Bombyx mori: one gene and its partners. The protein of the gene in region 6 purifies or fractionates together with the protein of the main gene of each other region. This does not show direct contact. Links are inferred from orthologs where the notes say so. Each region holds a gene or a part of one and is shown on either strand. Other genes may lie near its edges.

What was found.
Region 1: the proteins of regulator of nonsense transcripts 1 (region 6) and Y14 purify together in Homo sapiens (co-immunoprecipitation; 7 studies listed by BioGRID and IntAct, with this or other methods). This does not show direct contact. The link is inferred for Bombyx mori from reciprocal best matches to the Homo sapiens genes UPF1 and RBM8A.
Region 2: the proteins of regulator of nonsense transcripts 1 (region 6) and protein CASC3 purify together in Homo sapiens (co-immunoprecipitation; 5 studies listed by BioGRID and IntAct, with this or other methods). This does not show direct contact. The link is inferred for Bombyx mori from reciprocal best matches to the Homo sapiens genes UPF1 and CASC3.
Region 3: the proteins of regulator of nonsense transcripts 1 (region 6) and exosome complex component RRP4 purify together in Homo sapiens (affinity purification with western blotting; 3 studies listed by BioGRID and IntAct, with this or other methods). This does not show direct contact. The link is inferred for Bombyx mori from reciprocal best matches to the Homo sapiens genes UPF1 and EXOSC2.
Region 4: the proteins of regulator of nonsense transcripts 1 (region 6) and interleukin enhancer binding factor purify together in Homo sapiens (affinity purification with mass spectrometry; 3 studies listed by BioGRID and IntAct, counting the BioPlex papers as one, with this or other methods). This does not show direct contact. The link is inferred for Bombyx mori from reciprocal best matches to the Homo sapiens genes UPF1 and ILF2.
Region 5: the proteins of regulator of nonsense transcripts 1 (region 6) and RNA helicase Mov10l1 purify together in Homo sapiens (affinity purification with mass spectrometry; 3 studies listed by BioGRID and IntAct, with this or other methods). This does not show direct contact. The link is inferred for Bombyx mori from reciprocal best matches to the Homo sapiens genes UPF1 and MOV10.
Region 7: the proteins of regulator of nonsense transcripts 1 (region 6) and ALY purify together in Homo sapiens (co-immunoprecipitation; 3 studies listed by BioGRID and IntAct, with this or other methods). This does not show direct contact. The link is inferred for Bombyx mori from reciprocal best matches to the Homo sapiens genes UPF1 and ALYREF.

What each region holds. Positions count from the first base shown.
Region 1 is NC_085108.1:4,109,309-4,112,262, forward strand, and holds the end of Y14 (RNA binding motif protein Y14), read right to left. Parts: intron 1,782-2,954; coding exon 1,677-1,781; 3' UTR 903-1,676; downstream 1-902.
Region 2 is NC_085126.1:2,181,993-2,186,256, reverse strand, and holds part of protein CASC3, read left to right. Parts: intron 1-458; coding exon 459-692; intron 693-1,943; coding exon 1,944-2,037; intron 2,038-2,504; coding exon 2,505-2,601; intron 2,602-3,964; coding exon 3,965-4,126; intron 4,127-4,264. UniProt on the Homo sapiens protein: Required for pre-mRNA splicing as component of the spliceosome. Core component of the splicing-dependent multiprotein exon junction complex (EJC) deposited at splice junctions on mRNAs.
Region 3 is NC_085121.1:5,598,443-5,602,996, reverse strand, and holds exosome complex component RRP4, read right to left. Parts: upstream 2,640-4,554; 5' UTR 2,504-2,639; coding exon 2,379-2,503; intron 2,306-2,378; coding exon 2,068-2,305; intron 1,987-2,067; coding exon 1,852-1,986; intron 1,258-1,851; coding exon 1,072-1,257; intron 868-1,071; coding exon 652-867; 3' UTR 651-651; downstream 1-650. Other genes in the region: mediator of RNA polymerase II transcription subunit 18, read left to right, coding at 3,794-3,886, 4,326-4,460. UniProt on the Homo sapiens protein: Non-catalytic component of the RNA exosome complex which has 3'->5' exoribonuclease activity and participates in a multitude of cellular RNA processing and degradation events.
Region 4 is NC_085130.1:10,885,256-10,889,991, reverse strand, and holds the start of interleukin enhancer binding factor, read right to left. Parts: upstream 3,428-4,736; 5' UTR 3,191-3,427; coding exon 3,017-3,190; intron 1,495-3,016; coding exon 1,366-1,494; intron 58-1,365; coding exon 1-57. UniProt on the Homo sapiens protein: Chromatin-interacting protein that forms a stable heterodimer with interleukin enhancer-binding factor 3/ILF3 and plays a role in several biological processes including transcription, innate immunity or cell growth.
Region 5 is NC_085131.1:8,801,974-8,806,237, forward strand, and holds part of RNA helicase Mov10l1, read left to right. Parts: coding exon 1-87; intron 88-2,378; coding exon 2,379-2,513; intron 2,514-2,825; coding exon 2,826-3,016; intron 3,017-3,892; coding exon 3,893-4,047; intron 4,048-4,264.
Region 6 is NC_085127.1:8,613,398-8,618,244, forward strand, and holds the start of regulator of nonsense transcripts 1, read left to right. Parts: upstream 1-1,782; 5' UTR 1,783-2,084; coding exon 2,085-2,264; intron 2,265-2,342; coding exon 2,343-2,530; intron 2,531-3,284; coding exon 3,285-3,485; intron 3,486-3,808; coding exon 3,809-3,879; intron 3,880-4,447; coding exon 4,448-4,515; intron 4,516-4,847. UniProt on the Homo sapiens protein: RNA-dependent helicase required for nonsense-mediated decay (NMD) of aberrant mRNAs containing premature stop codons and modulates the expression level of normal mRNAs.
Region 7 is NC_085114.1:10,512,024-10,516,957, forward strand, and holds ALY, read right to left. Parts: upstream 2,950-4,934; 5' UTR 2,893-2,949; coding exon 2,689-2,892; intron 2,039-2,688; coding exon 1,822-2,038; intron 1,744-1,821; coding exon 1,549-1,743; intron 917-1,548; coding exon 768-916; 3' UTR 664-767; downstream 1-663. Other genes in the region: replication factor C (activator 1) 5, read left to right, coding at 3,854-3,888, 3,977-4,041, 4,383-4,510. UniProt on the Homo sapiens protein: Functions as an mRNA export adapter; component of the transcription/export (TREX) complex which is thought to couple mRNA transcription, processing and nuclear export, and specifically associates with spliced mRNA and not with unspliced pre-mRNA.

The DNA of each region.
Region 1 (2,954 bases), on a different chromosome or scaffold from region 6:
AGTTTTTGGAAGAACCCGACAAGCCACGTTCACTTTTCCACCCTTGTGCACTTTCATAGCCGTTTAACAGTTGATAAGCCACTATTATTACACGTTTAAACCAGAAGAACCACAAAATTATCAAAACAATTAAGACGTCGCTCCTTCATTCCCGCCAAAAGGACTCTTCTTCTTCTTCTTCTCAGTCGTGTCACTCTTGACAGAGTGGTCGTGATCGTCATGTAGTGTTGGAAGGGGCAGACTTGATGCGTCTCACGATGTCGCGCCATCTCTCCCTGCTCGAGGCCATTCTACTGCACTCATTTAGGGGACCTCCCACTGCAGTTTTAATTTGGTCGGTACACCGCATTGGTGGCCTCCCGCGCGGTCTTGTACCATCAACGCTTCCCTGTACAACGACTCAAAAGGACTCAGTGCTGTCTAAATGCCGTGTAATTTGAACATTTTGAACCAATAAACAAAACATATGTATATTTGTTTTGTCCATACTTAGTGTAAGCGGATAATATTACTGGTGATAAGACGTCATGTGAGTCCGCACGCGTAGGTACCACCACCCTACCTATTTCTGCCGTGAAGCAGTAATGCGTTTCGGTTTGAAGGAGAGGGCAGCCGTTGTGAGAGACCTTAGAACTCATCTCAAGGTGGGTGGCGGCATTTACGTTGTAGATGTCTATGGGCTCTGGTAACCACTTAACAGCAGGTGGACCATGCGCTCGTCCACCTATTTAAGTAAAAAAAATATACATTGTAATTCAAACCTTATGAATTCATCCAATCTATTCTGTGTTATTGGATGCTCATACTTTGTATGCATATAATAATTTAAAATCTTATAACCTCATGGCATCACAAGAAACCGATTGCCATACTGAAAAAAATTAAAGAAAAGGCAAGTAATTAAGAGTTAAATTTTATTTTATAGCAAATTACAATCATGAGTTAAGAAATGCACTTTTTTCTTCATAAAATAACTGGTCGTTTTTTAATTGATACTCGAATGTAACACAATAATAATTATTACAACTTTTGTAATGTTATTTGATTATATTGTATCTGTATCAATTTTGTTTAAAGTAACTTATTAAAGAACATTTTCAGTTTTCTTTACTATAAATTCCTTTTAATAATTTCTAAGAATATTCCTTTGAACTTTAGAATCATTAAAAAGAAATGAAAAAGTGAATTACATAACTATTTGAAACCTTTTAATACTCTAACATCTTCATTTAAGAATATCTTTCGTTTTGTGCAGTGGAATCTGATTATATAATTTTTATCCATTGACAATCCATTTTGAAAGTGCGATCAGGAATATAACATACCCAATATAAAATTTAACATCAAAGGTTTTTATTTATATCTGCTGCCAAACTTGCACTGCGAACATTGAATACCTATGCTAATAGTTGAACACTAGTTTGGTTTATGTGTAGGTATTTTATTGTACATAGAAAGTTAAGTCTCAGCTTATACACATTATCGCAGACCCTCTGACTAAATTATTTTGGTATTTTTTTTATATATTCCTGATAATGAATGTTGAAAAATAAGAACAAGACACCCATTCCCATACTTAGCTCAGCAGTGTTCAAATGCATACAGTCTCTGTCGCACTCAAGAATGTTCCTTAACTTAAAATGAGACAAACTATGGTAATCAGATTACAATTATTTTTATCGTCTCTTCTTATGTGATTTAGTGGGTCCCTTGACGAAGCACCAATCAACTGATATCGCTTGGCCGAGTATATCTGCGCCATCCAATGCTTCACGTGCACTCTGCGATCACAACATTGATTTTATTAGTTTCTTTTCTATATTATGAATTCATAGCCAGCCATTGCAAAGGACCGAAGTCTTTGAGCAAAATTAAACTAAGCCCACACATGCTGATCTCATTGATAAAATGGTAATGGGATTATAAAGGAGTACAATATTATAAAATAGAAGCTGTATTAATGTGTAAAAAGGAAATTACTTTAAAATTATTATGAATTTTAAATAAGTTCATAATAGTTTTTATGTAAGTTCTTAAGAACATTTCATCTCAATAGACTTCTTCTTTGACTTCAAACGTGAGTAACAACAATTTATAGGTTCCAATAATCATTTTGTACCTCTTATTGGACATCCTTAGCAATGAAACAAAACAAACTTTAACAATTAAAACTTTTTTTTTTTTTTTTTTTTTTTTTTTATTGCCCTTGTAGGCAGACGAGCATACGGCCCACCTGATGGTGAGTGGTTACCGTCGCCCATGGACTTCAGCAAACTGGTTTCAATATTTGACTATTTTCATATTAATTGCTTTGCAACTTATGTAATCCAGGACGAATGAATAACATTGTGTAATAAAATCATATCTGAAAATATCATAATATGGATAAATACTAGTAATAGGGCTTGTTGTGAGTTCGCATGGGTAGGTACTATCGCCCCGTCTAGGTCTGCTGTGAAGCAGTAATATGGTTCGACTTGAAGTCATGTTTCAACTCATGTTACCTGTTAGATGGCGTATTTTCATTGTTGGTGTCTATGGACTACAGTAACCATTATAATCAAGCGGGCCGTGAATTCTTTCATCCAAACAAAGCAATTAAAAAAGATACATACGAAGTTTAAGATGTATACAGTGGATATCTTTAAACGAGCAATTCTTGTATATTAATATATATGTATATAATTTGAATCTCGGAAACGGCTCCAACGATTTTCATATAACTTAGTATACAGGGGATTTCGGGGACGATAAATCGATCTAGCTACGATTTATTTTGAGAAAATGTTGTTTTATTCGTGTTTTCAAAAATTAACTCTTCCTGACATCTATTGGCGAATAATAATACTATTTTTCTTAATTGAGGGCAACTAACCGCTTTAAAGACACAACAAGATGGCGTTATCAAAAAAAACCGGTCATCATTCAGTATGTATAAAGTGGATACCAAAGCA
Region 2 (4,264 bases), on a different chromosome or scaffold from region 6:
TCAGGTTTTAATGTGTAATAACGGTGGTTTATTAGCTGCTTAGTATCTGTGAAAGTGCACAAATGTGGGAAAATAAAACAAAGCCGCTGGACGTAAATTCTCGACATCCTCCCGATCCATTAACGGTGCTTTTAGGCACCACAAGCACCGGTCACCGTCCTCTTCCAACCTGTCGCTTGCGACGAAGGGCTCGACGAGCGAATTAACCCACAGACACAGCTCACTGAGTTTCCGATCCGGTGGTGGACTCTGCGAAGCACTGCTCTTGCTAGGGCCAGTGTTCGCAACACTCCGGTTTGAGCCCTGTGAGCTCACCTACACACGTTAGGGCGAAGCTGACATAGCCTCTCAAGGCTATCAGGTAGGAAAAAAAAATGCAAACTAGCGCTATCCTCGTAGTGCTACTAGCCGCATAATGCGTCGGTACCCTAATGGTTGTGCATTGGTCCGTGTAACAGGAGGAAGGTTCGCGCCCCCCGGCCTCGGTCCAAGTCGCAGCCGGCGGCGGGCGAGTCCCCGGAGCGCGCCGCCCAGCTCCGCCGGAACGCCTCCATCAAAACCGCGAAGCCCAAGCCGCCGTTCACAAAGACGACGCCCCCGAAGAACCTGAAGCCGCAGGACAAGAAATTACCGGCGCTCGAAACTTTGACAATCACCGCTCCGGCGAATAATAACAATAACAACAATAACAGGTGAGGATTCGTTTTGTATTGGGTGCGTTGGATTCGAGCATTATTAGTACTGTTGCCACGGTAATCACTAATCATTTTAAAATTTTGAGATTCTCAGATATTGTCGTAAATATAAGAATATAATACTTGGTGGCAAACACGCGAGATGAGATGTCCTACGTTTTTCTCGCGGTGCACATACTCATAAAAAAAACAATTTAACTGTTTTTTAATTTTAACTAAAATACTACTAATTAAATAAGAACTGTCTGATGAACTCATCTTTGTTTAATACTTCACTATTAAATTTTATTGCCTTTTGTATATTTCACTTTTACACTAAACACAATATTGCAAATTACCTGAGCACAACAATGGCGGAGAATTTTTGGTGTGTGAGAGCAGACGTAGACACTAACGCGCTTGCGCACTTGTCAGTACCCAGGGAGAAAAAGTTAAACTTTCTTCCCTGTACAGAGGGACGACAAGTTACACTTTCTTCTCTGTACAGAGGGACGAAAAGTTACACTTTCTTCCCTGTACAGAGGGATGAAAAGTTACGCTTTCTTCCCTGTACAGAGGGATGAAAAGTTACACTTTCTTCCCTGTACAGAGGGACGAAAAGTTACACTTTCTTCCCTGTACAGAGGGACGAAAAGTTACACTTTCTTCCCTGTACAGAGGGACGAAAAGTTACACTTTCTTCCCTGTACAGAGGGACGAAAAGTTACACTTTCTTCCCTGTACAGCGGGACGAAAAATTACACTTTCTTCCCTGTACAGAGGGACGAAAAGTTACACTTTCTTCCCTGTACAGCGGGACGAAAAGTTACACTTTCTTCCCTGTACAGAGGGACAAAAGTTACACTTTCTTCCCTGTACAGAGGGACGAAAAGTTACACTTTCTTCCCTGTACAGAGGGACGAAAAGTTACACTTTCTTCCCTGTACAGCGGGACGAAAAATTACACTTTCTTCCCTGTACAGAGGGACGAAAAGTTACACTTTCTTCCCTGTACAGCGGGACGAAAAGTTACACTTTCTTCCCTGTACAGAGGGACGAAAAGTTACACTTTCTTCCCTGTACAGCGGGTGGAAAACCGAACTTTCGGTGTCGGTAGGAGAAAAAAACTGTTTGAAGAAAGTGTAACAATTACAACAGTAGAATTTTTTTCTTCTAAGTGCCTGCTGCAAAGGCTATTATTAATCAGTAGTCCCTCGATCTTGCTTGATAAAGCATGATATATTCAGTTGCTTGATTTACAATTTTCAGCCAAGGTCAGTCGCAGCGGAAGGTGAGCGCTATGGTGGCGCAGCAGCGGCCAGTGCCCACGGACATCAACAAGAAGAAGCCGCTTCCCGGCCAGGTATATCGTACAATAATTGTCATCTTTGTCATAAGCATCGCTTCGTTTGCGCTAGGGGCGCTGTTCGAATTAGATACAGATTTGAGTTCGATAGATCGATTTAATCTTATCTTATCTTATCTTATCTTATCTTATCTTATCTTATATATCTATATATATATATAAATGAATTGCAGTTCGTTAGTCTCGCTAAAACTCGAATACGGCTGGACCAATTTGCCTAATTTTGGTCTTAAATTATTTGTGGAAGTCCAAGGAAGGTTTAAAAGGTAGATAAATATGAAAACACTCGGAATTAAATAAAAATAACAATTTTGTTTTTCCTTTGGTGTGTCCCCCGTCGAACGGATTCCTTTTGTTTGTTTTAAGTTTATTTTATACAAAAGTTTAGGTCTTTTATTTCTCGATTGATGCACTACGAAGTCTGCCGGATCAGCTAGTTATCGATAAAAAATGCTTCTCCCCAGAACCAGCAGCCCTCGAGTCCAGCCCCCAACAAGTCGCCGCCCCTGCAAACGAAACCACAGAACCAGACCTCTCACCCTCACCCGCAACAGACCACTGGTAACTATGAAACAAAACGTATAGCTTTCAAATGCCTAACAATTTTCCACAATACATCAATTATGAAAACTAAACATTTAAAATTATTATTAAAAAAAAGAACATAATATTTCTAACCTAAAAGTACATGTTATTATCCGCAACACGCTTCGTCAGATTACAGAAATAGAGTTATCAGCAACATGCTTCGTCAAAAAGTACAATACTTACTTTCAGCTGCAAGCGTCGTCATAAGTAACATATAACATTTAAATATTGAAGACAAGAGTGGATGAAGAGATCAAGTATCATTTTTAAGATTTTTGAGTTTCTAAATTGAATAAAGGTGTTATGTGCATATATTAGACCATATTAGACCTTAAAACTTCAGGCATAAAAGTTTTAGAAATTGCAAGTGACGAAGGAGTTATGTGCGAAGAAAAGTGCAAGCAACAAAAGTTTGTTGCCCGCTTTCTCAAAATTAACAAATTGTATCATATCCCCTTCATCCACTCATGTCTTCAATTATTTTTGATTATTGCTATTTTTTTCGCGGAATAAAATATTTTTAATTTTTTCTGTTTATCTCTAAGCTTGGCAGGAATTGTATGCTTGTGAGCGAGTATTTCAATTGATTAATACGTGAAGCAAAAACTTTGTATCCCTTTTTACGAAAATTGCGCGGACGAAGGAGTATGAAATTTCCCACACTTATAGAGAATATAGAGGAGTGCAGAATGCTGATATTTTTAAAAAAATATGCATTTATAATACATTAAATCAATAAAAAAACATTACACACACTACCATGTATTTAACATACACGCATAATATATAAACGCTTTGTTTATTGTTTATAGTGTAGTTTTGGCGAAACCTGTAATTATAGAAGTATAATAAAATATAGTCTTTGATAATGGAACCATAATAATGTTCAAACTTACTGGTGGTAGGACCTCTTGTGGGTCCGCGCGGGTGGGTACCACCGCCCGGCCCATTTTTGCCGTGAAGCAGTAATGCGTTTCGGTTTGAAGGGTGGAGCAGCCGTTGTAGCTATACTTGAGACCTTAGAACTTATATCTCAAGATCGGTGACGCATTTACGTCATAGTTGTCTATGGGCTCCAGTAACCACTTAATACCAGGTGGGCTGTGAGCTCTTCCACCCATCTAAGCAAAAAAAAAATATCTTCAATTATTTTTCATTTTTGCTATTTTTTTGCGGAATAAAAATAATTTTTTTTGTCTGTTTATCTCTTTAAGTTCGGCCAGAGTTGTATGCTTGTCAGCGAGTATTTTAATTGATAGTACAGCTTCATTAATACTGCCTAGAATGAGCAGAAGACTAGAGAAAGTGTCATTATATTTCTGAACTGTTGGAACAGGCGCCGAGCCCCGCGGCGGCAGCAAGCGCTACAGCAGCCTGCGGCAGCGCCCCCTCGCTGAGCCCTACACGCCCCAACCGCAGCCGCAGACGCAGACCCAGACCCCTGTCCAGACCTCTAGTCCGGGGGCAGCGCAGACCCAGCAACCGCACAGATATGCCGGTGCGTAGGGCGAGCCACTATCACCCTCTCATCTCGCACCTCACTCATGTATAGTCGGCAAGCTAAATCTGTTCGACGCTTGAAAGACAAACGTGACTAAGCGACAATGCGTGAACTTTACAGTAGACTAATTTAAAG
Region 3 (4,554 bases), on a different chromosome or scaffold from region 6:
TGCGATTGATTTGATGTCTATATGAACTGTATTAATTTAACTTTTTTTTTATTGCTTAGATGGGTAGACGAGCTCTTAGCCCACCTGGTGTTAAGTGGTTACTGGACCCCATAGACATCTACAACTTAAACGCCGCCACCTACCTTAACATATAAGTTCTAAGGTCTCAGTATGGTTACGACTGCCCCACCCTTCAAACCGGAGCGCATTACTGCTTCACGGCAGAAACAGGCAGGGTGGTGGTACCTACCCATGCGGACTCACAAGAGGTCTTACCACCAGTAATTACGCAAATTATAATTTTGCGGGTTTCATTTTTATTACATGATATTATTCCTTCACCGTGGAAGTCAATCGTGAATATTTGTTAAGTACGTATTTCATTACAAAAATTGGTACCCGCCTGCGGGATTCCAACATCGTTGCATCGCTAGATACGAATGCACCGAACGTCTTATCCTTTAGGCCACGACGATTTCGAAACTCAACCATCCATACAAAACGTAAGCGCAATTGTACACAGATTTACATAGAACGATCAGTTCGCCCTATCCATAGTGAATTGCAATTTACAGAAAACTTTGTGGTATTGAAAAAGCTGTATTTCCTTTATTATTAATATTTTCTAGCTATAATTAAAACACAATAAAGTCACTCTTCTGCAATAATATTTATTCTATGCTGAGTTAAAAATGCTACGTCAAGCATAGCTTCAGGATCCAAGAGTTCCTTTACATTGTCGTATTTGAGACTTTCTTCGAATGCAAACATTATGCTAGTATCATCTAACATCATCTTAGATGCCACAAGTGCCAAAATACAATTTTTCACTCGCGCCATCGTTTCTCTTTCTGATTTCCCAACAGGCTGCAATAAAAATGATATCAGCATCATATTAGCATATGCAACAATTTCATGAGGGCATGAGAACATGCATGAGTTCTATTTTCTTAAAACATGGAAAAACACAAAGTTTAGTGAAAATGATATAATAAATCTTTAACTTGTGTTTATCGTTTATCTTTCTTAACTCCTATTCCCGAACACTGCACACTGATAGCATTAACCCACCTGAATTTCATAATTTTCAATTGCATCCTTATTTCCTTCCATAAGAATATCACTTTTGTGTGGACTAATCCATATATATCCATTATTCCCTATTATGACAGATACTGCACATGGTAAGTTGTGAAAATGATTTTTTCTGCGCTTTATCAATGACGGGAATACTTTTATTAAAGTTCCCTGTGAAAGCTGCAAAAAATAAAGTTTTCGAACAAACTCTTAAATTAATTTTTTTTTAGTATTAGCAAGGAGTAGAAAGTTCAACATTTTGTGATATTAATTATTATTAGAGGACTGTATGAATGATTCTATTTTAAGGTATGAAGGGCTATTTGGTTTAGAGGAAAGTCATGTAATTTAAAAATTGAAAAAAAAACATGACAAAACTTCTCCAGCTATTTCAATGGAGAATACTTAATTGGTGTTCAATTAAAAACAATTAATTGTATAAACTAATACCAAATAAAATTTACCTTTAATTACACAGATAGATGCCATGTAGTAAGCGAAGTGTCACTTAAAACAAATAGCCTTACGCCCCTTGATTTTATTTATTTAAACATATAGGTAGTGAATTAAAGCAGATTTAAGTGTTTGTGTAGACTTGTAATCAATTTGCTAATGAAGCATGTTTAATCTACTCAGAAGGATAAATATCATCTTCACTTTGGAGGATTTCAAAATTTAATGTTGCTACATATTTGAATATTTTTAATTTCCTTATAACATTCTTGTTGAACTTTAGAATAGTCATTTTTTATTGGCTTCATAAAATCTGATTACCTTGCCATATTTCAAACTTCTTGTATGCAATGAGAGCGAACCATCAGAAAATACATTCTGTACTTCAGCGCTTATCAAATCACCTTCCTGTAAATGTTTTCTCATCATCTGCTCATCCTCTTCTGAACGCCTTCTCTGGATTTAAAAAAATATATAAATAGTTATCATTAGATACAAGAAGATTGCTTTATATTATGGAAGTGTGCGTTAATTTACCAATTCTCCGCCAGGTAGATTTACTGAAGAAAGTTGAAGTATTGAATCAAGTCGTGAATTGGTATCAACTTTCCATCTTTTCTGTTGAACTTCCAATACTCTTCCGACTACCACATCGCCTATTTCTCCAACGTAACGACTCTTCAATGGGCGAATGCATATAAGTTTATTTACTTTTTGCATAACCCCAGCAACAGATGCTTTTAGGCAATCATCTTCTGCGTAAGTTCCGTGGCCTCTTAAAGTGCAAAATTATTAAATTTATAGTAATAATAATTCTTAACAATATTGTTTTCGCAAAAAATACCGACCTCATAAAATCTTGTATCCCAGTTATGACTTCGCCAGGAGTGTAAAAACGCGGCGGGTCATTATTTGAGGCAACCGAATGATTTACTCTTTCAGATGCGAGTTTTATAGATACATGACTGACCATTTCTAATGTTTTTTTAAGCTCCCTCTTTGCTAATTGTGAATTGTGTACAACGAACTCATAGACCTATAGTCGGATTTTTTATTAGACGAAGTCAACTGACGTTTACTGTGTTGTCAGGTTTTGATGAAATAAAAATAGTGTTGTGACAAAGTGAACGATTGAAAAAACTCCTGAATTAATGAAATTGCCTCGATTGTCTAGTGAATAGTTAGTGTGCCGAATTGCCGATATCGGGTACGGGGTTCGAATTTTAGGCGTGCTTTGTACAACCAATGAGTTTTCGACGAAATATTATGTTCCTATAGTATCTACCTGCACTGAATACCGAGTGTTTTAAACATTAAGAAAAACATTGCGAGGAAGCTTGTAAGACTGTCCTATTTCCAATACATCATATAGTTGAAATTATAGATGTATAAAATATAACAATTATAGGTATGTAATGAAAATAAAAAAAAGTAATTGTAGTTACATACTACTAGTAACATATATTGGAGCACTTTAATACAATTTTATTGTAAAATATAAATAATATTCTTTTATAGTTTGAAATTAATGATTAACTCTTCACACTCATTGTTCATTCATGTGATTGAACGAGAACTGAACAGATGATAAGGGATGAAATACAATCTCACTAAAATGACGGTTATTTACTGAGATTTTGGCCTTTTTGGACGATCCCGAGAAGTTACGTCCAGCGGCTTGGTTTCATTTTCCCACATTGGTGCACTTTCATAGATATTGAACAGTTAATAAACAACCGTTATTACAGGTTTAAACCTGAAGACACACTAAATAGACAAAATAAAACAAATCACACAATTTCACTCCTCGCATGTAGAATCATTGGTGACAAAAAATGTTTAAAAACAAATACGGCCGTACCAATATGATAATATGATGCGATACCATTGCCTCTCTCTCCTGTATTTGAAAAAGGAAATTACAAAATGTCACCTAAATGAGGCTAAATGTCAACATTGTTAGTAACTGTCAAGCTAACAGCGATTGCAAACATATCTCTACCTTGTTAAATTCCAATATGAGTATTTAGATTATGTTAATTAGAAATTAGAATTTATTTTCTCCTTTAAAATTGCCTAGTTTTTTATTTTACGCAATATTTATAGTTTCGGTTATATGGACTATTTAGACTGAATGCACCTCTATGAGACAGAAAAGTCGTTTATAAGTGTAATGATTTCTTGGCTCACACATAGTTCTTCAAAACTTAAATCTTTAAATAGCTGCTATTGAAGTAGGTTTTCAGATTTTCAGCTCCATAAAATGTCGGCAAACGCTGCACCTATAACAGCTACAGATAGCTTATCGCAAGCTTTAAAAGCGAACATTATACCAAATCAGGAATACTTACTTCAGGTACTACAGGATGTTGAAGTGGCTCAGCTATTTTAAATTTCAGAATAATTACAATATAGTCTACATTCTTCTACAGTTTCCATAAATTGCATACTTAACAGAACTAATTACCATAGTTGCAGCTATTGTATCCAATTCTTTTGACCCATTTGATCTGTTTACATACTACATTCAAAATATTATCAGAACCCATACATACATAGCTTACATATAATAGCAGCCCAAAAAAACATGAGATAAGGTCTTAGTTACAATGCCTACAATGCTGTTCTTAATAAATAAAAATAATTCATTTAATGATTTTCAATTTTACAGTATTTCATAGCTGGAAATTATGATAATTAGGCAACAGGCAGCAACTTTTCTCAAGATTCAGTCAAGTTTGTTAATTGTTGAATATTATACATTTAATTTTTGATTCCACTAAAATTTGATTAAGGGCTCAGTGTTGGACTCGGCAGTAGAAGTTTTACTTCACCGATTACGTGGTCTTTGTGACAATGTTGATGCTGGGCCAGAAACATTTGATGACCAGGAAGTGTGTTTCAGTCTACGGGATCCTAATCATCATCAGGTAATAATAATACTTAGAACTTTTTAAAATATTTCTGTTAATGTTATTATTATTTTAGGACACTAGAATATAAAATGGTTATAAAATTATAATA
Region 4 (4,736 bases), on a different chromosome or scaffold from region 6:
GGCCATCATTGTCCCCTTCTTGTAGGACCCAACTTGCCGCACTTCTTCTAGTTGCTGCTAACCAATACATGTTTATATGATTTATCACAATTAAGATTTCTACAAACAATAATATAAAATGATAACAAAAAAACGAAACATATAATACACAAAATCACAGTCCAGTCTTATCGCTAAGAGCAATCAATTCACATAGACAAAGAAAGGATTAGGCACCAAATCAAATCAAAAAATTTTTATTCAACATAAATGAAAGTACATACTTGTTGAACGTCAAAAGAACTACCGCCAATTCACAAGAACTAGCCTCCGTCCTGAGAAGAATTAGCAAGAAACTCAGCGGACATGTCTTTTTTTTTTTAATGTTTTTTTTTTTTTAAATATTAGTTTTTTTTTTTTTTAACCGTTCTATTATCACCAGTGAAACTAGCCTGTTTTCGTTTGTGTAATAAAATATATTGAAGAGTGAAAGGATATTTCGTTTAAGAGACATTTTTGTAACTTAATAGGAGCCATTTGAAGTACACAGTTTTGAAAAAAAAAATCATAACATAAAAACTACTTCAGCTATTTCAGTGGAGTAAACTTATTGAAGTTCATTTAAAAATATCGAACTGTTGATGCTAATATCAAATAAAATTCACCTTTAATTACAAAGATAATTGTTGTGGATTTAGTTAAATATGGTTTAATCCCTTAATATGTATTTATTCTTTATACCTATACTACACTATATGCAATAGAGCAATTACTTTGAAGAATTTTTTATCAAAATTACTGCACTTGATCTATTAAAACCTTTATTAGATGGCTGCAGCTCGAAAACTAGTATCGGGCCTAGGGACCGCGCACTCGACAAAGAGTTTGACCTGTAACCTAGTCCATAGCAGCCCACAGAGTTTCTCAGAGGATCTTCTCAGCGGGTTGCGATTTCAATCTAAGGGTACAGTTAGCAAAGCAGTACTCCTGCTAGGGCTGCTTGCTAGTTTTTTTTTTTTAATTTTTTTTAGCCTTTTTTAGGCAGACGAGCATACGGCCCACCTGACGGTAAGTGGTCACCGTCACTCATGGACGTCAGCAATGCCAGAGGCAGAGCCAAGCCGCTGCCTACCATTAAATACTCTCCGCAAGCCTCGTTTGAAGAAGGACATGTATCATAGCGCTCTTAGCAAATACTCTCGTGTTGAGTCCATGAGTTCACCTACCCGTGCGGCAGTAGATGGAATAGTCCCTTAGGATATCAGCAAATAGGGGAAAAAAATAAAACTAAATAGTTACTTATTTACATTAAAGTTCATTGAAAACAGAGAATTATGATGTATAGTATGTATAGTGATGTATAGTAAAATAATTTCTATAACATACGCAGGCTGCAAATTCTCCTGGAGCCACAACAATATTGTCCAATACTGTCTGCAGTTTCGTGACGAGGCTCAAAACAGCTGCTTGATCGGTAGGTGACGGACATAGCTCCGTGTGCCTCTTTAGAAGGGCCTGAAATGAAAATAGGGTGTAATTAATTAGATAAAAAAATAACTATTCTTGTTACACTACTTTCAATTTTTTGAATTTAATGTCATAGTTTTTGAAAGATAAGGCTTTGGTATTGATATGGTAAATAAATATTAATGTAGTGCATTGGTGAGGGTACTTACTTATTCAATTTTTAATTAAAAGAAATAATATGGATATGCTCTATTTTTTTCCCTTTTTTTACTATTTTTAATATTGCTCAAATGTGTTTGTGTGTTACACAACAAAGATAAGACATTTAAAGTTTATTTCATTCATTACGTATAGCTCCATAATTTTAAATAGAAATCAATTTCACTAATAACTAATGCCATATTTTTCCTTTGTTGTCAGTGCTACTTTATTAACAATCCACATTACCCGCGAAAACCTTTTCCAATAACGAAGGGCCAAATTAAAATACACTTATGCTTACAAATGTATTATACCTATATATGGATCAGGGATCCACAGGATGTGGACTGACGCACAGCGTTGCCAACTCTACCAACTTTTAGTGTCGTAATCAAACCTACCACTTAATCTACCAACTTTTGAAGTTATCAAAAAGTTCAAATCAAACCTCCATGAAAATAATATTGAAACTATATATTTTTTTTTTATTTTTCGTAATCTTTCTATTGCTTTTTTACCCTTTGAGGGATTCATCGAATTTACTCGAAAATAGAGGGCATTACAGGTTGATGTACAGGTCATATCATGGTGGCTTAATAAAAATAAAAAAAACAAACATCATGGCGGTGTTAGATCTTAAAACTCTTTCTACATACGATTTCTAAATATCTGTGTTTATACTCTATATCTAACGCGATTCAATTAACAAATAACTGATTGTAATTTTTATAACGTTTCAATTGAACACTATCAAAATGAGTGAAAGTGAAAGTAAAAACGAAGAAAATTCTCCTACTCGAAAATTCAAAAATATGCATTACAATCAAAAATATTCTCAACTATAGGAAAAAGAAGAATATTAGCGGCCTGTAATTCTGTTTTATCATTGGATTTCTAATAAAAATAGTTCAAATATGTCTTCTTATCCAATCGAAAAGTAAATTAAGGATGCCAGATTCTTATTGGAGGGTCTCTAAAAGACTTGAAAAGTTGGTAGATCTACCACCTTGGTATAGTAGGGTTTGTTGGAAACTACAAACTTGTAGAACCCTATCTCCTACCTTGACGAATTTCGAGTTGGCAACGCTGTTGACGCGTCTCATGATTGGCGACATTTTCATTACAATGTCTATGAGCTTCAGTAGCCACTTAAGATCAGCTCCGCCTTAACTTGGTAAGCCGGTCTATGTAGTATAATAAAGTGTTGATGGACGTCAACAGCGTTTACGAAACGAACCAATGTATTGGTGTTTAAATGGTTTCAAAATAAATGTTTTTTGTGTTACAAATTACAAAAGAACGAAAGAATGTCGTAGACTTTTCTAGAATGACCTGACATGGTTCGACCCGGAATGTTGTTACTGGTTACCTGAGTGAGCACGGAGTCGTCGGGAGCCGGTTTGCATCTAGGAAAAGCGGGTTCTGCTAATAAAAGGTCGAAGGGCGGACGAAGCATCAAGACTCGGGGTCTGTTGAAGGGTGGACGCCCCATCCCGCCCCGGCCGGGGATACCGCGTCCACCACGACCGATGCCGCGCACCATTTCAGGAAAAACAATTTATTTTAGGTTAACGTTTTCACTTTGTTTTGCACTTGGAATGTTAATGACATAGAAGTTGTGTTTTCACAAATTTTTCTTTAATTATTTTTACGCGCGAGCTTATATAGTGTTCGAATTGTATTAATCGGACACTTTCTGCGGTCTCAATCGGTCAAATCCATGGAGTTAATAAGTACCTACAACTGGAGTGCTGTCTAATGCCGAGAAATCGGTCTCGAAAGAGAATACTTTTTGGTCGCGGTGTCCTTGTCTAATGTGGTGACCATATAAAATGTATTTATAGGACACAATTATACACATGCATCAGTTTTGAATTTACCTTAAGTAATTCTGTGTAACCCTATGTAAATACAAAACACGTGCTTGCAACGTTTTATTTATGTAAATTCAATTCTAAACATTGCTTCGTCGTCATGGTGACTTTTTTTCGACGGTTTTTTTTGGAAGTTGCTGCGTTGTCGAAAATCTAGCACTGAGTTTTATTACAAACATCATTACCTCAGTTCTATTACTTAAACTTCCTCAAACTCATGTTTAACGTCCGAATACTGAACTTAATTACGCAATTCCTACTTTAATGTACTGGCTAAGTGGGCCGTGCAAATTAATATTTGACACACTAAGTGAGACATTGCAACACACATGGTCTGCGCGTATCGGGTGCTCTTTTCCTACATTCACATCTTCAATTGATTTAAAATTGCTTGTATTTTTACTTCTGTGCTATTTTCATGACACGTGTATATTAAGTCTACTAGTTACATTTTAGGAAATAAAACACAATGGGTAATAAAATGAAATGAACTGAAATTCATTTATTTGTTATATGTAGACAATTAAATAACTCTTAAATGACAAGTCAATACACATAACACAATACACATAGTACTTGATGTCTATTTACAAAATATTGGTTATATTATTATTATTAAGTTCAGTTAATTTTCTGTAGTCTTATAATATAACATTTCCTCTATTTTAAGTAAATTCTTTTTTTTCAACGAAATACATAATTTATTTTAATCAATATCTAAGTGGACCATGAGTATCATTAAAATTTCGCAATTTAAATTTCAATTCAATTAAAAATCGCCATTTTTCTTTAATAAATCTAAAATCGACTTTATATTTACAATCACTATTTCGCGGCTTTTAAGTTTTTGTTTCAATACCTTAACATCTTGTCGTAATTTTGCTTTTCTCGGGGTATTTTTTATTTCTTGCGTTTGAGTACTTGATTCTTCTTGTTTGACCTTTATATAGAACATTTTCCAGAAATTCCAACGTCATATTTACTAGAAGATCCTCCTCGTTGGCTTAACGTCAGGCAAATGATATACATGCTTGCGTGCGACGCTATTCAATACAATAAAAAAAGTTCAAAAAATACTACGTGATGGCTCTTATAATATAAAAAATACATTGCAAAATTATAGTTTTCACGATTGTTTTTTCAAATTTAGTATATGACATAGATTAAGTACAATTTACAAGACAAATGGTATTAAATATTATAATGAGAAAAAAT
Region 5 (4,264 bases), on a different chromosome or scaffold from region 6:
TAACGTGGCCACGATGCTTATAAAGTACGCCAAAAAGTTTCCTTCCGAAAAGTTTCTTTTAAGAGCGAGCTCCTTTTATCGAACATGGTAAGCGCCAATATTGTATTGTATCAACACAACTCTGCAAGTAAATGTGTAAATATTTTTTTAAATATATATAGGACTAACTGACCCGGCAGACTTCGTATTGCCTCAATCGATATATAAAAGATCTAAACTTTTGTATAAAATAAACTTAAAACAAACAAAAGGAATCTGTTCGAAGGGGGACACGTCAAAGGAAAAACAAAATTGTTATTTTTATTTAATTCCGAGCATTTTCATATTTATCTACTTTTTAAACCTTCTCTGGACTTCCACAAATAATTCAAGACCAAAATCAGCCAAATCGGTCGAGCCGTTCTCGAGTTTTAGCGAGACTAACGAACAGCAATTCATTATTATATATATATAAGAATAAGATAAGATATAAGATTAATAAGCTTCATATATAGGTAATGTTGTATTGTTATAAAAGAAACTTCAATGTGTTGCTCTGAAAGAACAAAAATCTATTTTATTAGTTTTAATCAAGTTATCTTACGTACCATATTACACTATTATACTATAACACTAACCTGAAAGAACAAAGAAACAACATTTAAAGTTTATTTTATAATCTTGTAGTTATCTATATAAAAAAGAATTTTATTAAAATTTTACGAAATCTATAATCTTAATAGTCATATTGTTTCTCTGTCAAGACCATAGACCTATATAGTAGGGACACGACATATTGTTCTATACGTACAATTGCTTATATAAATAGCACCCATTTTGAAGGCACACACATAAACATATATCTATCTCGTTCTTACTCAGCACTTTAACTCGCAGGAAAACAATATAACAGTGTTTCAGTGCGTACATAAAATGAAACATGAATATACGTAAATATCTCCGTCTCCGTCTAATGAGGCCGAAAATCCGTCATGTTGAGCGCACCAAATGTCATTGTCACGTCAGTTCGGCCGTCTGTTTTGGGTTGTACATTAATTATTGACTTTGATATCGATTTAATATGATTGCTTATATAAATTTCATAATTTATCATGCTTAGAACATACAAAAATAATAATTAAAACGTATTTTATAGGATCTCAAGAAATTCGATGCCCCAAAACTATTATCTATATAAATTTAAATTCATTATGGAGCCCTCATCCGAAAAATCGGACACAATTTTTCGGTCGGAATCTATTGATCATGACACTAATCATAAATACCTCTTTAAAATATGTCATCAAAACATATTTAGACATTCTGTTTAGATATTTCGGGAAAAAGGCTACTGGCAAAATCTATTCGGAACTATTTAAATAAAATAGTTTTATTCCGCAGTGAGTAAAACACTATTGTAAATTCGTTAAATATTTAATAATTAAGTGATTTTAGAGAGGAAGTCACAAGGAATGACGTTTTTAATAATGAATAAATGTTCTGTAGGTGTTTTTTTTTTACGAGGTCCCTTGATAAGTTTAAAATTTGAATCACTCTCAAGTGAAAGTGATTCAAATGGTGCGGCGCACCTTCCTTGGGGTGCGCTGCGGTAGTGTGTTACGGACTTTAGAGTCAGCAAAACAATTAAAATAGATTGTAATAGTCTAAGAAAAACACGTACTCAAAATACGATAACATTTAGCATGCTAGAAATGGGCAGATGGCACTGTACTACGCCATACCTTTATGTTTTGCGACAAACGAAAACTTTATAAAATCAGTGTAGCAACTTTTAAAAATCATCATATCGTTTACTTGGCAAATTCGAAGGACGAACTTGTCTTAGATTTCACCCATTTAAATCATATCATATTTGCACATAACAATATACCTACTTACTTCCCATTAAAGTATAAATTCTACAAATAAATAATACTCAACAATATTTAAAATAAAATGAGCCAAGAACGTTTATCGATAAAACCTGATAACATTGAAATCTTTTGTACAGTACTAAAACCGCCATGTTTTGTGGTCAGATGACGTCACAGTGGCACGAATTTTTGGTTGACGTTTCATTTCCATAGGTTTCCTACTTCAGTGGTCAAGACTGCCTTTTTGACTTTACAACACGCGCATGCGTGACATAACTCAAATTAAAGAAAGAAACAAGACTTTCTTTACATATATTTTACGCCTTTATGAAAACAATTCAAACCAAAACAATTTTTGAAGAATTCGAATATTTAAATGCATCAATAAAACTTGTAAACTTTATATAAGTTAATATCGCTGGGTAACGTGTCGCATATTATGACAGTGTTGCTAGTATTTTGTTCATTATTATACAACTGTCATGGTACGCTTATTTGTGATTAAACAGTTTCGAATTGTTTTAGGGCAACACTACCAGAATGCTTACATGCCTTTTCGAACGGTACAAGTACCAAAGACTTTTGGTCTGTGAGTTTCACAGTTTTCCAGAAATACGCGATCGTCATTACAACGTTATCGCACGCCGCCAAATTCAGCGGGTACGTACGAAAACAAATTTAATAATTAGGTTGTAGGAAAAGACGAAGCGAAGGATGTTTTTGTTTACAATAAAATAATTTTTTCTTACACTATTTTTAATTCAAATGTACTAAAAATTATTTTCAATTTTTTAGTAGAATTTCAATTTACTCAATTTTTAATATTGAATTGTCATCGGTCCTTAATAAGTATACCAAATTTCGAGTTAATCCGACGTTACGAAGGGTGTCAAAATCATGTTCAAAGATTCCGTTACATACTAACATACATACGTCTGAAGCTAATAAAAAATAATTTACTTTTGAAAACAGAAGTTTTAGTAAGAATAGCACGTGCCACATAACGCATCTGTTCATCGACGAAGCGGCCCAGGCTTCCGAGCCTGCCAGTCTCATCCCGATCTGCGGGCTGTTGTCTACCGCTGGTTCCCTGGTACTGGCCGGGGATCCCCTGCAACTGGGACCTGTCATCATTTCACAAAAGGCCAAAGAAATTGGCCTCGGTATGTATTGTATACGCTGTTGAATAACTGTCACCTGTAAGTATTTAAGCTTGTGTATGGTGGCAAAACGGTCGAACTATTACAAAGAAAATTTCTTTAAAAGCTTTCAATATTTGAAAATTGCTATAGATAGATAGATATATTCTTATTTCTCGTTGAGAGAAGTTAGGAATAAAATCGCACGGGGAGGTACCATTGTTTTGCTTATGTCGGCTACGAAGCAATCGTGCGTTTCAGTTTGAAGAGCGCGCAGTTGACTAAATTAATAAATAAATAAAACAATTTTCTGCTAGCAACCAAATGTAACAATACAAGATATAATACTGTCCCTGAAAAAGAAGCGGCAATGGAAATATAAACATTATTCACCGGGAAGTTCTTACTAAGTGAAGCCGCAATCGAAATTAAAGCTAGTTGGAGGATGCGGTCATTGACTTCGACTTACTACCGATCTTTTTAAAGTTTTACTTTCGATACTGCCTTATTTTTACACAAAAACGGTTCTGGGTATACTTGAGATCTTAGAACTTATATCTCAAGGTGGGTTGCGCATTTACGTTGTAAATGTCTGAGCTCCAGTAACCGCTTAACAGCAGGTGGGCTGTGAGCTCGTACATCATCTAAGCAATAAAAAAAAATTAAAAAATCTTACATCCGAACGAAACAGAATAAAAGAAGGTACACATTCATAATATCAAACAACCATCATGACTCAAAATATCGACAAGAAAACATTACAGGAATCGACTGAACGCAACGTCACGAGTTGTGACGTCATTTAGAACAAAAACGTTCGCCAAGTTCAAGTTATTCTCGCAGATTGTGATGAATGTTCAACTGCCTCTTTTAAACGTATAATAAAACGTTTTATTGCAGGTCTATCGCTCATGGAACGTTTGATGAAAACGTTTCCTCAGTACAACGACGTGAAGAACGACTGCAACTATATAATGCTGCTGCGCAATAACTTCAGATCTGATCCGGACATACTGCACATCCCTAACGAGTTGTTCTACAAGGGACAGCTCAGAGTGAGTTTATAGATACGTTTTTTTTTTTAATTTGCACATAACAAATTATAATCATTACAGTACATATGAGGCCTATAAAATCAAAGGCAGCTAAACGCCATAATGTCGTAAAATGGATTAACAATGGCGCTATCTTTTTTAGTTAGTTGGACACCCTTTAGTGTTTTTATGTTATAACAAATGCGGCTAAATCTCTAACAAATTCAGTTCAACAATT
Region 6 (4,847 bases):
CGTAGTCATCAATATAATGGCGTAGTACATGCCTTGAAAATACCTTCTGATAAGATTACTGATTTGTGAAAAAAGTGTAATGTGCCGAACAAAAATGTTTTGAGAATAAATGTGTGAGAGAAATTGTCGGTCCTTCGGGGCCCCCTGAGAATGGGGGCCCTGGGCACGGGCCCTGTGTGCCCTTATGGTAAAGACGGTATTGCGTAACACGGTGCTCTGACAGCTATCCTGCAGAAGGAGAAATGTATTTTTAAAGGAAATGTGTGAGGAAGAAGGTAAATGTCAGCGGCATGATCTAACACTACGATCGCATGGTCAATATTGGACGTATGCCAATTGTGTAGTGTCAACTTATTACGAAGGAATATTTGTCTCCGATTGAAGATCATCGGGTAGTCGGCCGACGAAAAGCTCGACGCGATCGCAGTCAAATAAAGTAGAAACAAGCAGGTCATTGATTTATTCAGGATAGCTAAAACTTCCTCGCTCAGGATATTATTGGTCGAAGTGGGTGGTCGCGCAGGTGATATTCCTAAAACATACTAGATTACTACATATTCTTAGTATAAAGTCAAGTCATAGCTCCAAGTTTGAAAATTAAATAAGGAATTTCTCGAAAACATCTCGCGAAAAAAAAAAAAAATTTAAAACGATACTAAATATTCTGCATTCGTGGCGCGACATTGATACACAGTTAAAGCGCCATCTATCAAGCTATGAAGTTATCTCCTCGTCCCGTTGTTAAGATGGTTGAATAAATAATTTTGTTAATCTTAATAACAAATTTATAGTACAAATATTTAAATACATCTTTTGATGATCATTCACATGAAGGTCTAGACTAATTCAACACACTACGGTACTTTTGACTTTTGGCGGGAATGTGAGGATATGTAATGTTTGATTTGAATCGTCTACTTGACAAGCAAAGGGAGCATAGCCTATACAGCAAAGCTTTTGACTGAACTAAATCTGTTGTTTAAAAAATGAAATGAAATTGATTACGGAATGGAATTAAATAGGGTAAATGAATCAACCTCAAATTCACCACACACCTCAACACACCACACACCTCATCAACACATCACAACACTTCAAATCTTAGATGAGATTAAATACAGTAGCCTCTCAGTAAAATGGTGGGAATTTATTGTGAATTCACTTGTCTTTTTGAATGAAAATGAAAACTAAAACGATATTGTTTAATTTTCCGACATAGATCCTAAGAAACTCATAAACTAAAAAAATTTAATGAAAAAATACTAAATTTACTATATCAACGGTGCCCAAACTGGTGTACGCCGGATATGAGGTTTCAATTGTGTGATACAACGACTATCCCACTCCGATTCATCATGAATTCCAAACACTTGATTGTTTCATAAGATATCTAGTTTCCATTATTGTAATCTATGTATTGACGAATATTTGGAAATTTTAATTTTTTTACCCGAAAAAATTTTTAAAGGCATTCATTTAATAACGCTGTCATTATGAACACATGAATAACTAGCTAAAATTCTTACTTTTCGCAGCATTTGAACCCAGCTGGCAACGCTCTCGCAACAACAATCTTGCCCGTTAGTCCAGGTCCATTCGCGTCATTTAGATTATTTTGTAGTGAGAAAATCGGTACAGTGAAGAGAAAAAAGTATATTTAAGTTTATCCGGTCATATTTCTCAATTAAGTAGTACTTGTGACCTGGCCTCTATTGCCCAGTGTTGCGTCTTGTGGCAATAGTAAGTGACAGCTTTGAGTTGTAAATATATTTTATCTGTACTTAAATTTTCTCACTTGGAATAGTTTGTTTTTCTGTACTTTAATTGGTTAAAAAACAGACAGCTAAACTGCACTCAAAGATTTGATTGGTACAAAACTTTGAAATTATTAATTGACAAATAGAATAACAGACAATTTATATAAAACTTTATACGGAAACAAACCATGTGTTAACATGTCGAATTTTCGTCACGATTTGTGTGTCGTTTGAATAACTGCGTGACTGCTATGGAAATATCAGCCAATAGTCGTTCTATATATTTTCTTTTGGATTAATTTTGTTTGTTTAAATTCGTCATTAAAAATGAGTGTTGAAGCATTCGACCCAAGCTCGCAATCGCTCACGTTTCTGGAAACAGAGGAAGGGGACTTTATTGGAGCAGACACTCAAGGCTCTGAGTTTGAGTTCACGGATTTTACATTACCCTCTCAGAGCCAGACACAGGCTTCACAACATGACCATGGGTTGTCTTCATCCAACCAGGTATGTAGAACACCACCGAAGACACATCACTTCAACTCACAGAAAGATCAGTAACTATTGACATTTATCACGTTGTAGGTTAACGGAATAGGACGTATAGAATTGTCGTCTAAAATCTCTAACGTGACTAATACGATACCGGAGCTGCAATTCGAAGAGGAAGATGAGGCTTTGTACAGCAACAAGGAACTTCCAGATCATGCTTGTAAATACTGTGGCATACACGACCCGGCCACAGTCGTTATGTGTAACATATGCAACAAGTGGTAAGTAGTATCATAATCCCAAAAATGTAGTATTTATAGACGTTTTTTTACAATATACATGAAACTGACCTCTGCTTCCTAACTATTTTAAGTATTGGTTTATTTTATCAACATGGGTTGTTACATCTTTCATGATTATCTGTCTAATGAAATTAGAATGTTAGGAAAGTAATAGCAACTCAAATAGAACTGTGGCCTCTCAAAACAGGCATGTCTTTTGTGTCTCTCAAAACAGACATGGTTCTGTTATCCATGGGCCCTGGAAACAACTTAAAATTAGTTAGATCTTTGTAACTTTACACAGTTATTGGAATGTAGATTGCAGATTAATAAGTTGCCTTTGTTACAATGAATTTGCTTTAGATTCTGTTCCTACATCTTCTTTGAGCATGCCCTACATTGGTAATTATCAACTGAGTAGAGGAATAAATCAGGGGAAAAATTTACTGGATTCAAGTAGTAATGTTATAACTCATTGAAAATGACCTACTTGAATTACAAAATTTAGATATTGAAGTATATAATACAGCTATGCTACATCATAGATCGGATACACTTTAGAGATAGATAAAACAAAACACTTGCATACTACTGAGCAATTGGAAATATAAAGATTATAAAGAATTAGTACTTTATGACTTAAAAATTAAGAAAATTTTAATAAAATTAAATGTCTGAAAGAAATTGCAGTGAAGATTATGTTATACACAATTTATTGAATATACTCTGATTCCTTAAGAATAATATTTTCCAGGTTCTGTAATGGCCGCGGTAACACTTCAGGCTCTCATATCATCAACCATTTAGTACGTGCAAAGCACAAGGAAGCTGCATTGCACCGTGACGGGCCACTTGGCGAAACCCTTCTGGAATGTTACTCATGTGGTGCTCGGAATGTATTCGTACTCGGCTTTATACCAGCTAAAGCTGATTCTGTTGTTGTGCTACTTTGCCGGTATGATATTTTTTTTAAACTTAATAATCACTCATTAATATGTAATATGCTATTATCTCAGTCATAAAATCTGTGACTCACTCCAACATAAACGATTGCTCTCACTCTGTGAAACACTGCGCCACATGGTGTCGCATCGCGAGAGCATCGGTATTGCAGGATCCGACTGATCCACTGACCACGACCACTCTGTCAAGAGTGTACAAATAAGAAGAATTATCTCAGTGCTCAGAGAAAAAAAAACTATAAAACAATTGAAACCAAGATAAATTAGATAATTATCGACTGCCCGCTACATTTAATATCAAGAATTGAATTTTCAGACAACCTTGTGCAGCTCAAAGCTCTTTGAAGGATATGAACTGGGATCAGGAACAGTGGAAACCTCTGATATGTATGTTTATATCTTTTAAAACATAAAAAATCAAATGATTTGTAGTACTGATAAGCTTACATTTATTTATGTGTTTATACATAACAAGTTTTATATCTAAACCTGATAAATAGTGATCATGAACATAGCATCCTGAAGTTGACCTGGAAAGACTTGTAAATGATGATGTAGATTTATATATAAAATATATTACAGCCCACATGATGTTAGTAGTTACAACAGTATCAATATTGACACTACTTACCTTGAGATATGAAGTCGAAAACTCCATTTCAAAGTCTAAAAATGATCTCAGATAAGAAATTACTCTAACCAGTATTCTTATCCCACAATTCAAGTCATTATGCATTATTGTCATTATACCACATCATCACGAGCTGTCTTTTAATCATACTCTTAAGACTTAACAAATAGATGAATAGAAAGACTTTCAATGTAAAATTTCTTTATGTAACTTCATCTTGACCAATTTTAAAACCTATTAAGAACATAAAATGTTTTAGTATATGACATAAAAATAGATAGATAGCTTTTAAATATTAACCGACAATATTCATTATAATTACAGCTGATCGTGCCTTCCTGTCTTGGTTGGTGAAAGTGCCATCAGAAACAGAACAAATGCGAGCTAGACAAGTAAATTTTTATATACAAATTAGACATTTATAGAAATATTAATTAATTTACTTATTTATACCTTTTTATAAACAAAACAATACATATAATAATATGATGTATAATAAAATATAGTTTTATACATATAAATAGTATTGGGAGACAAAACAAGAGTTTTAAAACTGTTTTGAAGAAAAAAATTATGTTTAATAGTTTTAAGTAATTGAAATTTTCAGCTGCAGTCTGCCAAAAATTAGCAATAATCTTTCTATTAATAATGTGCAATCTTTTCTGTTTGCACATGCTCTTTTTTATTTCTGCTCATATGGCTTATCCAGGGCTTATTCCTAATT
Region 7 (4,934 bases), on a different chromosome or scaffold from region 6:
CGCCGGAGGGACCCTGGCGCCGGGCGTCCTCCTTCAACCGGCGCAAGCCCATCGTATTATGTATATATGTCGATGTCATTTGTAGCCGAGCACGTTGCGAACAGCTCTCTCCCCTATAAAGCTCACCCTGCACCCACATCACCCCCGACCTGTGTGGCAGGGAGCTTCTGTCCAAGCAGTGGGGTTTGCCCGAGGCCCGTTCCGTGCCCCTGTAAGGGGGTACGACAACTCCTTTTATAAATGAACTTTGATGTTGCCGTAGCTTTAAATATGACTGTTGATGTGCTGAAATTGAGTGTAATGACCATGAAAATTTTTTGAAAAAGTATTTCTCATTGTTTTTGACAGACTTCCACATTGAACGAATAACATCACCAGTAGCTACGTATAATTTTTAACCTACACAGGTAGTGATGTTTGGAGGTGGAGCAGTGATACGCTTAAGATCTAGGCAGTTTCCAAATCGGCAGATGCCGAATGCAGATGCATTCACTGTAATACAGTTGAATTACGATAACCTCCTTAAAAATGTTTACACTTGTGTACACAACTACAGACTAAAAAGAAATCTATACAAGAAAATTTCAAATCTGGGTTTATTTATCCAATTTAATACATGTACTAGAATTATAATTTCTTTATAATTCGTAGTCTTTTATTAGTATAACCTATACTTTTACAATTAATCTAGAACATTGAGAACACAAAGCTTATTCATTCATATTTTAAGATAAAACTGAGTGTCTATGCACATTCTCATTAGTTATTCACTTGATTTCTTTCACATATGCATCAAGCTCTGCATCTAATTGTTCTGCAGTAGGTACTGGTCGTTTGCCTCTGCCTGCACCACCACGTCCTCTTCTGTTTCCCCCACGTGCTCCACTATTGCTTTGATTTCTAATTCCTCCACCTCCTTCAAAAATAAAATAATTAATGGATTTCTAGTAATTTGTAACTTGCAAACAGTAAAGTGAAAATGTACAACAAGAACTAGTGGGAAAATATCAGTTTTAAAAAAAGTAATTAATTTTAATAATGTTTTTTTAAATGAAGGATTTAGGGCCGGAGGCCTTTCCAGTTACACCACGAATGCTTAGCCAGAAGAGAAGGGTTTGCTAACAGTTGAACACCTCCGAAAGAGGTCTAACACAATTCATGGGCAGCTGCTTTGCAAATGAATCTACTACCAGATCAGTAGTCTGTCTATGGATTAGGTTGCACATCAAACTCTTTAGAGTTCAATGAGTATGGTTAGTGTTAAAGCAGGTGTCTAATGCAAGAGTTATTGGATCTGATGGATCCGTAATTATGTGTCTAGGACATCAACAGTTAGTCTCTGCTGTGGGTAGAAATAGTCAGCGGCAGCAACAATATGGCGATTATCATGACCAATGGCCTTATTGAAGTATCTTTCCGACAATAACTAGGTGTTTCCAGATTGATTCGACTAAGAGGCCATCTTGTATATGGTGATTTGTCACAAATCACAATGATGTAATTTGTTATCACTCCTCCCATACAAACAAATCCTGGAAAATATCTTACCTCTTTTAGGATTGTTTCGTATAGTACCTCCCACACTCGCACCACCAATTCGATTTCTAGCCTCGGGCCTTAAAGTATTGATTTCAGATGTTGCCAATTGTATATTCATTGCCCGTCCATCAAGTGGCACTCCGTTATACTGTTTCATAGCCTTCACAGCATCTGCTTTTCTTTCAAACACAACATCTGCAGTACCTAAAAAAATTTAAAAATATCTTGTATGATGAAATACTTAATGGAACAAACTAAGTTTTTATGCTTTGTGATACATACCTAAAGATCTACCTGACCGATCATAATGTACAGATGCACTTTTGAGGATGCCAAATTCCGAAAATAGTTCCTTTATATCTGAATCTGATACTCCAAAGTCCAAATTGGATACAAGCAGCTTGGTAGGACCAGTTGTTATGGTCCCACTGTTTCTTTGAAGTTTCCTCTCACCAAAATCATTGAACATATCATGTTTCCAAGTGCTGTTCACATCACCCTGAAAAGGTCATCCTTCATAGAGCTAGCCATGTGGCTACTCTCTATGCCTCCTTTGAATATAATAAAAACTCAAAGCTTAGGCACTAAAATTAATACATTGACATCTGAACCACTTGATAAAATAACATTTGATGTAGTTTACATGTTTTTTTTCGAAAATTAAAATATAGAACTGTTTTATCACTTTCATCACACAGACACAAGACTAATAAGTTATGAAGCACAACCAGTCTCAGCCGTCCATGGAGTCCATTTATTTACTTTTCAACTCCTGAAGTCAATTCTATAAATTGGTCAAAACTGCACTGTAGACATCTCCACAAAAGTAACGTTTTGCTCGAATTCATTACACTTTTATATCAGCATCCATCATAGAATTTTCCGGCAGATGTAGGTAAACAATGCAAAACAAAAACGTTGATGGAGATAACAATATGGTTGCTGGGATTATGGTTTCAAGTTGAAAATAGGTCGGATACGAATAAAATAAGGGTCTTGATTTGAATCAAAGTGTCAAATTTCGTCTAAAACTATTTCAACAAGATGGTCCATATGGTTGCTTGACTTTTTGAGAACAAATTAGATACATTGATGCGTCACATTTGCCCGCCATTTGTAATTTTAGAATCATCTAATTATTGGAATTACCCTCGAATAGTTGGTAGATTTCGTTATGCCTCCACGATTTCTACCTCGTTGTACACCACCAGAGCGGTTGCTACGAAATCCAGCACCGCCTCCACGTCCTGTTCTTTTGTTTGCATCAAATTTTCTTCCAGCACCACCTCCAATCCTTGTCTTTTTGTTGGCTTTTATAATATCATCCAGTGCCATTTCAATTTGATCAACCATGGTGATTATTTGAAATTCTAAATATTTTTTCTATGAAAATTAAGTCAAAAACAAAAACAATCCTTTTAGAACTCTTCCTTCCCAAGTAGACGGTGACAAAATGGCCGAAGAAAAGATTCGTTATTGCCAGATTGCTAATATTAGTTCAACAGTAGATTGAAAAAAATTGTTGAGCTTTAAATTTGGTAGAAATTATAGTCAATAAAGACTATCTTACACATCTGTCTTAGTTTATTTTATTTTACATTTACCAGTTGATTTGGTCAAATCTTTCTGTTTAAAAAATTAAGCGCTTAGTTTTAATCTTTAACTAGGTAATCAAATCACGTAATGCTAATGCACTCAAAATTCAAATATTAAGAAGTGTATTATTTATGGTTCGAGATTTTTGGCGCGAGGAGTGAAGTTGTGTGTTTTGTTTTATTTTGTCTATTTAGTGTTTCTCCAAGTTTAAATGTGTAATAACGGTGGTTTATAACCTGTTTAATATCTGTGAAAGTGCACAAATGTGGGAAAATTGAAACAAAGCCGCTGAGCATAACTTTTTGGGATCCTCTAAAAAGTCCACTGAAAAAGTCTCAGTAAATGACTACCATTTTACTGAGATTATATTTCATCCCATATCATCTCATCTCATTTCATTTCATTCCATTTCATTTTCATTTCATTTCATTTCATGTTATGTTTCATATTAATCAACTTCATTTCATTTCATAAATCATTTTACATATAAAAAATATATAAAAGATTACGCTTTATGGTATGATACCTTTGCCTTTCCAATAATATATTAAGTGTATAATCTATGAATAAAACTGCTACTACTATCTATGGTTCGAATTTTGAATTTTATAGTTTCCTCAAGCTTGTAAACCAATCCACAATTTAAATAAATCGTTTTTATTAAAGTATCTGTACTTACATACTAGAAGCGATTTAAAAATACTGTTATAAAAACAATATGACTGTTGGGGAAACAGGCCAAAATTTGCCATGGTATGAACTATCATTAACAATGATTTAAACAAAAAAATCATAACTCAATATATTTTACTACGACGATTAACACTTTGTTTTTACGCAGGGTTGAAAAATATCGCCCAAAAAGATTGGATGATTTAGTATCTCATGATGATATAATAAAAACAAGTAAGTATAAATTTCTGAAACTAATGATCACATTATTTTAAAGAGACTATCAAATTTAAGGCTATAAAAATTGGACTTGAATCAGGTTGATATTAAGTTGCTAACCGTAATACGAATACCTTATAACAGTTAATGCATAAACCCCCTCTTCGTACCAGTATGTTTTGTACATTGTAACATAAAGTAAAGGATTTTTCTTTTTGTTCTTCTAGAGTACTTTGTTTACATCTTAATTGAGGCAGCAGCCTTCCAACCACTACATCCCTATTTTTGTGAGATTAGGTACTAGCCCTAGTACAGTAATATATGTATTTACTGAGATTAGAATATTGTCATTACAGTAAATCAATTTATGAAAGAGAATCAGCTCCCACATCTACTATTCTACGGTCCTCCTGGAACCGGGAAGACATCTACCATTCTAGCCTGTGCCAAACAAATGTACACTCCACAGCAATTTAGTTCGATGGTATGTAAATTTTTAGACCAGTTAATTAACAGCAAAATTAAGAATCTGATTAGCATTTTTAAATAGTTGGTCATAAATATCGTAATTAAGTTACTTAGATTGCATCTAAGTAGCAATATAATTCAATAAGCAATATAATTCCTTATAAAATATAATTCCTATCTGAAAAAATCTGTATTAAAGAACCTAAAATGATAGTTGCTTTAATGAAAATTTACTGATTGCACAATACAAGGTGTACTAAAACCATTCCTGGAAATGAAGACAGGTTGCTGACTCTTAAATTAAAGCATCATACCAACAAAATATTTTATTTATTTATTCAATGACAATAAAAAACTAATATGTGGTATTGGAGGTTTTTTTAAAATACAGAGGATGGCTATAAGCTTCTTTTACATTGATTTTTTTGTTTACTGAAACA